2 linked regions of the Cricetulus griseus genome follow. The protein of the gene in region 1 purifies or fractionates together with the protein of each later gene. This does not show direct contact. Links are inferred from orthologs where the notes say so. Each region holds a gene or a part of one and is shown on either strand. Other genes may lie near its edges.

The links.
Region 2: the proteins of Slc37a3 (region 1) and Atraid purify together in Homo sapiens (affinity purification with mass spectrometry; 3 studies listed by BioGRID and IntAct, counting the BioPlex papers as one, with this or other methods). This does not show direct contact. The link is inferred for Cricetulus griseus from reciprocal best matches to the Homo sapiens genes SLC37A3 and ATRAID.

What each region holds. Positions count from the first base shown.
Region 1 is NW_023276806.1:188,772,467-188,777,003, reverse strand, and holds the start of Slc37a3 (sugar phosphate exchanger 3), read right to left. Parts: upstream 2,992-4,537; 5' UTR 2,901-2,991; intron 1-2,900. UniProt on the Homo sapiens protein: Unlike the other SLC37 members, lacks glucose-6-phosphate antiporter activity.
Region 2 is NC_048600.1:13,333,092-13,337,648, reverse strand, and holds the start of Atraid (all-trans retinoic acid-induced differentiation factor), read left to right. Parts: upstream 1-1,588; 5' UTR 1,589-1,644; coding exon 1,645-1,743; intron 1,744-2,385; coding exon 2,386-2,507; intron 2,508-3,595; coding exon 3,596-3,667; intron 3,668-3,846; coding exon 3,847-3,918; intron 3,919-4,165; coding exon 4,166-4,287; intron 4,288-4,557. UniProt on the Homo sapiens protein: Promotes osteoblast cell differentiation and terminal mineralization. Plays a role in inducing the cell cycle arrest via inhibiting CCND1 expression in all-trans-retinoic acid (ATRA) signal pathway.

The sequences.
Region 1 (4,537 bases):
TCTACAGAGCAAATACTAGGCCTGTCAGGGCTTCACAGTAAGACCTCTCTATCTTTAGGAAAAAAAAGTTTTCATGAACAGGATACTGCAGCACACTGCCCCAGCTATGAGGGAGGTGGAGATTAAGACTGCTTGAGCACCCAGGAGTTCAAGGTCAGCATCATAACAAGACTTCATTTCAAAACATTAAATACACTGGGCATGGAGATAACACAAAATATTGTCAGTCCCAGCTACTCAAAGCCGACAATGCAGTTAAAATGTCAAGACCTGTCTGGACTACAAAGTGCAGTAACAGATGACAGCCTGGGCAACACTGGGATCCTGTCTCTAAACAAAAATAAAATAGAGCTAAATATACTTCAGTGGCAGAGCACTTGCCTAACATACATTTGCAAGGCCCTGGGTTCAAGACCCAGCATCAATAAATAAATAAAAAGTTTCTATTCCCATCTCTGCTTCTTTAATGATTTACATGTTTACTATGAACTCCATAAAAAAAAAAAAAAAAAAAAAATGTTTTCCTCTGTCCTAAATCCACAGTTGTATCCCCAGGACCCTTCCCACCCCAAAAAAAGACTTTGTCAATTTTTTTTTTTTTTTTTTTGAGACAGGGTTTTTCTGTATAACAGTCTTGGCTGTCCTGGAACTAGCTCTGTACACCAGGCTGGACTTTAACTCACAGAGATCCACCTCTGCCTCCGGAATGCATCAATGATTTATTTCTTTGGCTGAATACCTACAAGACACCAGCACCCCATAGGGTCTTTGCATATATAATCATAGTCAGCCCTCCAGGTAGTGTTCAGATGAGAAACAGATATCAGAAAGTAATCTCTCTTGAGAGACAAAATATACATTCAAACCCAGACCTAACTAGATTCCATATTATATTGTGAAAGTGGGAAAGTTAAAAGAGAAAACACCCCAGTCTTGGTAAAACATAATTAGAATTACCACAGCTAAAACTCACTGGTATGTAGTTGAGGGTAGGAAAAGTCCAACTTACAAACCAACGCGGTTCCCTTTCACCCTCAAATGTGTAGAACTGGCAATCATCTGACTCACAAGGATTTGGTTTTTACTTGTACAAAGTAAAATGATTATGTGTACTCACAGTACTGGTAGGTAGAAAGGCACTAGACGGTTGTTGAGTTTGGCCATTTCACAATACTGTGTGTGCTATCACTTACGGACAATGCTCAACTCTTACATGGTATCTTTCTGATCTCTCATCATCTAACTAGAAGCCATCTATGGGTACCATGCACATCTCTTCTCTTTTCAAAATTCAAGCCTACCTGGTGTAAACTCCTAGAAGCCCGGCAGGAAGATCCCAAGTTTGAGGCCAGCCTGGATTAGAGAGTTTGACCTTGTCTCAAAAACAGACAGAGTGCACATTCGTTTGAGAGCCTGCCTTAAAAGCAGGGTCTAGTCCCCTGCAGAGAGCTTGACCGGCACACATGACACCTGCCATGGTGGTACACACTAGCAATCCTAGCACTCCAGAGATGGGAAGATCAGAAGTTCAGGGTCATCTTCAGTTACACAGGGATATGACGGTGACCTGGACTACAAGACACCTGTCAAAACACACACAATCATACACACACAATCACACACACACAATCTCACACACACACATACACGCACACAATTACACACACATACACGTGTACACACACACACACACACACACACACACACACACACACACACACACGCACACACACACACCCCAAACCTAGTAATTCTTTTTTCTTAAAACCGCCTCATTACCACAGATGTTTAAGAACCTGGCTATCTGTTTCAGGGTTCCTAAAACCACATCCTTTTATACCAAGATTCCTGTGACCACATTCTCCCTATTTTCTATTTCTGGATACGTTTCAGAGACAACTTCTTTCTCCTCCCTCCTCCAGACAAAGCAGTCACCATGTCAATGGTCACTGAGATGGCATGTCATCCTCACTGATGAACAGGCACTCATCCAGAACCTCAGACAACGAACACTGAACTTGCTCCTGAAAGCCGGAGAGCGACCACACATTGCTCTGACACCAGAGTTCAAGTCCATTTAGTTCACTTCTTTGAGGCTCCATTCCTCACTAAGGAGTAAATGAAACGATTTACTGGATTTCTAGGGTAGAGTCTGTCATACAGCAAACATCTGGCAAGAAGGAATGGCGAAGAAACAGTCCAACCATCAAAGCAGCGAAGGCGCTCTTTTTGTCGGCGATTATTTCGTAAACACAGAAACGTGTGTGAGGAGACCAAGCAATGCTTAGAAGAAGGCTGGCAATTACGAGCTTGTTTTTTGCTCGCCCTGGCAACTAGGCTTCCGGTAAACGTTTCGGTAAGTTATCACAGCATGGCCTAAATATTTCAGGAAACAGTAAAACTTAAGTGGACGACACATCCCCATTGTCCCTGTCAAAATTGACAACAGGCCACACACTCTGCAAAGGAGAAGGGCCAAGAAATGACGAATAAGCAACAGCTGAACTCAACTGGGGTCCTCCTGATGGAAAACAAAAGCCGAGTTTCTCCCTCCTGACCTCGCTGCACCCTACGGAAAGCCTCCCACCCGCCTGAAGCGCGGCCGTCCCTTGGGCTTCGTTTTTCTCCGGTTCGAGCATCCCATCATCCAAGGCCAAGGGACCGGCGGGTGGTGCGCGGGCCGGGCCGGGCCGGGCCACCTTCCCTCCCGGGCGTCCTCCTCCCGCCGCGGTGCACGCGACCTCAGGACCGCGCAGCAGCCGCACCCGGGACGCCGCCAGCGGCTCCGGGGGGCTCCGCGGCTCGGTCCAGCCGTGCCCGCGCCGCCACACCCACCAGCTGCCCCCGCCCCGCCCCAGCCGGCCAGGGCCCCGAGCCCCGGGACGCACGCAGGCTCGCACCTGAGACCCGCCGCCTTAGCACCAGCTCCGCTCCGCTCCGCGCCGCCCGCCGCCCCGCCGCCACCTCACCGGGCGCGGTGTGGCCACAGCTTCCGGGAGCTCACGTGACCGAGTGTGCAGGGGCATGCCGGGAGTTGTAGTCCGCCAATGCCGCTTCACCTGCCGCGGTGGATGGAGCCTGCAGGTCAGGTTTACCTTGGCTGAAAAGGGCAATGAGTGAAAGATACAATTTGAGAGGAACTGGTAGGCTGACCAATTTTTTTTTTTTCCAAAAAGAGGCTTTTTCTCTGCTTTAGATTTTTGTATAATTAAAGGCAGTTGTCCTTCTAGGTAGGAACATTTCACCTATCAGTACTTGCAGCACTACAGCCTATCACCACCCCACCAAAATAAATCATGCATGTTACGATTCCCAGCAGCAGGGCAGGAGAGATGATTAAATACATAAATCGGTTCATTTTTTTAAAATGGGGCTGGAGAGATGGCTCAGCAGTTAAGAGCACTGGCTGTTTGGTCTCTGGGAGACTCAGGTTCGGTCCCCACATGGTCCCCACGGTGGCTCACGACCACTCGTAACTCCAGGGCCAGAGGACTCGACGCCCTCTTCTGGCTCCCGTGGGCACTGCACACAGGTGGCATCACTCACACATAGATAAACACATACATACAAATAGAAAGGAGAAGAGGAAGAGACCAAGGAGGAAGATGCCCCTGCCGCCACCAGATCTCCTTCTGCAGAGTTGTTCAAGACCAGGTAATAGGAAGAACACGTCCTGAGTAGGGCAGTGGTGGTGTGCGCCTTTGGTCCCAGTGAGTTCTGGGGTCCCAGCCGGGGCTACACAATGAGCTCCAGGACAGGCTCCAAAGCTACAGAGAGACCCTGTCTCAAAGAAAGAAAGAAAAAAAGAAAGAGAGAGAGAGAGGGAGAGAGGAGGAGGAGGGAGGGAGGGAGGGAGGAAGAGGAAAAGAATGCTTCTTTATACTTTCAGCCCTCAGAGCAGGAATCCAAAAATCATGATAAACACAAAACATGAAGCTAAGCAGGCTCCAGAAACACCTCCATGTGTTCAGTTCATATGGGTCACTCTAGGGTGATTTTTAGCCTTTGTGGCCACAGGGGAACCAGTCAGCTTCTAGTGAACCCACTGACTGTAGTTTTGCAAAAGACTTTTTTTTTTTTATTGTTAAACAATTTACACCTTAGCATGTCAATTTCAACACACCAAAACCTCTTATCTGAAGCTCCCCAAAGGGACACATGCCAAAGCAATTCCCAGTCACAGGACATCTCAGTCTTCTAAGTCCTTCCACAACCAAGTTTTGCATAGACTTTGAACCTTTAGGAAACTCTCAGATAAGATTTATATACTTCAAACAGAAAGTACTGGACACAAAGGGTAGCAGTCACAAAAGGCAGATCCAGGCCCAGGTGTTAACACCCCGGGAATCAAACCAGCTGCAAAGCTTTACAGGAACTCCCGCCACAGTGGTCAATATGGTAAACATTGCTTACAGGGGCACTCCTGGACCTGGTTCATTTCACAGTCTTCTGGCATTGGTGAAGTCGGCCAAGCTTCTTTTGACGTGCACACGAAGATTTAGACAAACCTTACCAAAGGCCTGAAGACTTCTGGTTA
Region 2 (4,557 bases), on another chromosome or scaffold:
AAATGAAAACATGAGGGTGGCAGGTCCAGGTACTGACTCTACTTCTGGGGTTTTCCTGATAAATTATTTTCATTAGGCAGCAAGAATTCCCTAGTATGAAGAAACAAAGAGCTAAGCAGACAGGAAAACGCCAATCCAGTAACACAGTCTTCATTTCACACAACCCAGTTCTAGGAAAAGAACAATGGCTTTCTAAAAACCCCACTGATTCACACCAATGGACATGTCTATCTCAGAGGAGCCAAAAGAAAGCCAAGCTAAGTAGGGTCCCCTCTTAGAAACCCTGTCATCACACACTGCACTAGATATTTTAACTGCAGTGAAAGTACTGAAGGGTTGTGGGTTTCTTTACTGGGCCACAGGGCTAAATCCTCTTCCTCCTCTGAAATCTAAAGGAACACCTGCAGGGTCAACCGCCACCATTATGTCTTGGGTTTAAAATTCCTCAGTTTTCTCACTAAAACAAAATACTCCAGCAGCTAAATGTATTAGCAAATGTAAATTCAGGACTTCCAGGGAGGTACTTGACCATGTGGGCAGGAAACACAAGGAGGTTACCTGAAATGAACTCCAATTGTCTTTGGTGACCTTTTCAGGTGGTGTCCTCACCAAAAGCAATAGCTGTCCTTAGGTGTGACGGGTCTCTCCCAGCGCCCTCCCAGATAGGACTCCTGCGACTCCTGCGGAAGCGCTCGCTACCTTGCCTTGCGTCAGTGGTTCGGCCAGGACTACCAAAGTTCCTTCGTTCTTTCCGAAACCAGCACTGTCCTTTCCCTGGGAAGGCAATGAACGAGTTAGGGAAGCGTCTTTGCCGCTTCAACACCTTGCCCGGGCTCCCGAACACTACGCAACATTAAGGTGAAGGTTCCCAGACTCGTGTCCTCCCTGCCTGCGTCTGCCCTTCGCCCTCCGATCTTCGCCCCTCCATCACCCATACCCTCTCTCGATCCAGCTTTCCCCTTCTCTCCACACGTGGCGAACCCACCACACTCTGCGCTAGTATTTAAGACCTTCTTCCCCAGCCCACGCCGAGAGGCTCACCCCGCTCCCCGCCCCGCCCCTCCCAGCTCCGCCTGTCCCGCCCCGAGGAGGCTGAATTCGGCCTCTCTGCTGCTGCCCAATCCCCGCCCCATCCCATTCCATCCCACCCCATCCCGGCCCGGCCCACCTGCGAGACCTCCTCCACGTGGGTAGCTGGCCTGCGGGCCAGCCGGGCCGGAGCAGCGCCCGGCTTGGTGACAGCGGGACCCCACCCCCTTGCCCGCCCTGATCGCAGTGCCGCCATGTTTACTGAGGGCGGATGGAGAGGCCCAGCTGTCCGCACCGTGCTGAGGAAGCGTGCAGTAGACTCCAAGCAACTAAGCGGCGCCTGGGGCGGCCTGAGCTCCCGGAAGAATGGAGGGAGGGCGGGTCTGCCCACCAGGACCAGGCACAGTGGAGCGCAGACATGATCCCAGGAGTCGGCGAGCAGCAGCGGCGCTCTGGCAGATTAGGCCACGCCCCGCGGCGCCGGCCGAAGACCGATTAGGCCACGCCCCAGATTGACAGGATTTGGGAGACTAGGTCCCGCCTCGAGTGACGCGTGGGGGCGGGGCCTCGCGCTTGGCTCTCGCGAGCTGTCAAGAAGGTCGAAAGGAGTGGAAAATGGCGTCGCGCGAGCCAGGCAGTTCTGTGAACCCGGTGCCTTGGGCTGCTGCCCTGCTCCTGGTTGTGGGCATGGAAAGGGCTCTGGCTCTACCTGAGGTACAGGAGAAAGTCTGAGATATGTCTGAAGAAGGCTGCTGATCGTCAGCCTGGCGTCGAGCTCGCCCGCCGGTGGCTGTCCCAGCCCCAAGCCCAGATTTCTCCCTCCCTGAGGATTCCCTAGCCCTGTCCCAGCGGGAATCGTGCTCTCTCTCGAGTGCTCACGTAGTGCCGGCCACTGGCACCTTTGCCTTGCCCACATTCAGAGACCTTTGAAATTGGATCTCCTTGCTTTTGAGTAACTTTACCAGAGTCCCCCGGCCCCTCGGCCAGCTGTCTGTCCTTGCACGGATACTGTGCGTGTGCATTGGCAGGACTGTATTCTGTGATGCTGGAGCACTCTGAGACCTGCATGCAGCCCTCTAACACTTGCCAAACCATGCCTGTCAGGCGGAGAAGTCTCTGGAGAGGACATAATAGGGTCAAGTAATGATTCTCACAGATGAGGACCTGCTCTCGGGAAGGACTTGCACAGGGCGCTGATTTGGTGCCCGGTTGTAGGGGAAGAAATGGGTTCTATTTATAAAAGCCAGCTCTCTGCTCTGTGTTATAGTCCTCTGGAGGGAGGACCGACAGCTAACTATTGATTCTTGTTTGTTCTTTTTTCTTTCTGGAGTCTTAAGGTTTCTTTCTCTTCTGCAGATATGTACCCACTGTCCGGGAGGCGTGCAAAATACGTCCAGGGTAGCTGTTTACTGTGAGAATGCATCGGCGGCAATAATGCAAGCCCGATGCTGCCTGAGTCAGAAGGGCACCATCTTGGGGTGAGGGAAGAGAAGACATCCTTGGATACTCAAAATAAGTTCCCAGACTGGAGTCTACAGGCTCGCCTAACTGACTTTGGGGATAAATATTGGCACCTAACTGGAGGCATCCAATGTTAATTCTAAAACGTTTAAATTCGATGTAAATTTTTATTCCATAGGTAAAAGATCTTTTGGGTTTTTTTCCTAGATGCCCAGCTGATTTGCTTATTTTCGTTGTTTTATTTTGTTTTTTCTTTCATTAAAACCTCTGTGGCTGAGCCTGGTCTTTGTAATTTCAGCACTGGGGAGGACATAGGCTGGGCAGTGGTGGTTCATTCCTTTAATCCCAGCACCTGGGAGGCAGAGGCAGTCAGGTCTCTGTGAGTTCAAAGCCAGCCAGGGTTACACAGAGAAACCCACAGTCACCCTTAGTTACTTAGGGAATTTAAGACTAGCTTGGGTTATACTGAGATCTTGTCTCAAAAAGAAATCATTTCAGTGGGGATGCTGGACACTGTGGTTCTTCTCTTTAACCTGGCATTTGAGAGGCTGAGGCTGGAGGACTGTCACAGGTTAGACCAGCCTGAGCTGCAGAGTGAGACCCTGTCTCAAAACAAAACAAGTCTCTGTAGAGTGGTGGCTGTGATTGTTGCTTGGTGACAGAGTGCTTGCCTCAAACATACAAGGGCTGTGTTTAATCCCCAGCAGCAACAACAAAAACCTCTGAGTCTGAGAATCACAGGATTAGAGCTACTAATCCTGGAGAAAAATAACACAAAGTTTCTTCCAATATTTGCACAGTGCATAGCCTTACTGGCCAGAACTGTGTGATCCAATAGAAATTTCTGTTGATGATATAAATGTTCCATATCAGTACTAATCAGCACAGGAACCACTTGTGAGAATACTCTTGAATTTTAGGTAAATTAAAATGTCTACATGTAGCTAGGGCTAACTAGATTGGATAATACATGATTACAATGTCTACCATCACACTTCTCTTATAGTTCTGAACACAATGATGTTCCATGGGGTATGTGCACAAATACTAACCTTGCCAGGGATGGAAAAGAGACATAGTTACATTAATCACTTTGTTCCTTCAGGCTAGATCTCCAGAACTGTTCCCTGAAGGATCCTGGTCCAAAGTTTTTTCAGGCTTCTACTGCTCTTATCATGTAAGTGGTTAGGTACTTTCCTAATATGGTGATGGGAAAGTCTTTGGAGATAACTCTTAACATTAGTGTCTAAACCTATACAACTGAGGATAGGGATTAGATTAATAGGCCAGGAAATCATGTATAAAGGTAAATATCATGCTTTTCTCAACAGAGTACTAACAGTGTGTACTTTGCAGAGACCTTCAAGCAAATCCTCTCAAGGATGGTTTGACCAACATTTTCCGTGGCTTTACCCAGCTCCAGACTCTGTGAGTAGTGGGGAAGAGAGAGTCATAGGTGTTAATTATTAAGTGCTCAGCAAAATCGAAGCTGCTATTGCTGTTGTGTGTGTGTGCATATGTGCATGAGTGAGTTTGTATGCACATGGGTATCTGTGTGCATGTGTGTTGGGTACCCATGAACCCATGCCTTATATGTCGATGAATGTTTGTTCTACTACTGAGCTAACCCTAACCTCTTTGGCTGTGCATTTATGATCACACGTGTTCTCTTCAGGATACTACCACAAGATGTCACCTGTCCTGGAGGTATTAATGCCTGGGAAAGTATTACCTCTTTCACGGACAAGCAAATTTGCCAAGGACAAAAGGACCTGTGCAATAGCACTGGAAGCCCAGGTATGCTGTAGCATGGCCATCTCACCGGGGAGTCCTTTTCCTTCTTTGTAAGTGAAGCCATTCTCTACTTCTCCACTTTAGAAAGACAAAGGATGCTAAGTACCTTTTTGTCCAGAGTTCTCCATTCCCGGAAAATGTTTTTATTATTATTATTATTATTATTATTATTAATTATTATTTTGTTTGGTTTTGGTTTTTCGAGTCAGGGTTTCTCTGTATTGTTTTTTGGACTCACTCTGTAGACCAGGCTGGCCTCGAACTCACAGAGAT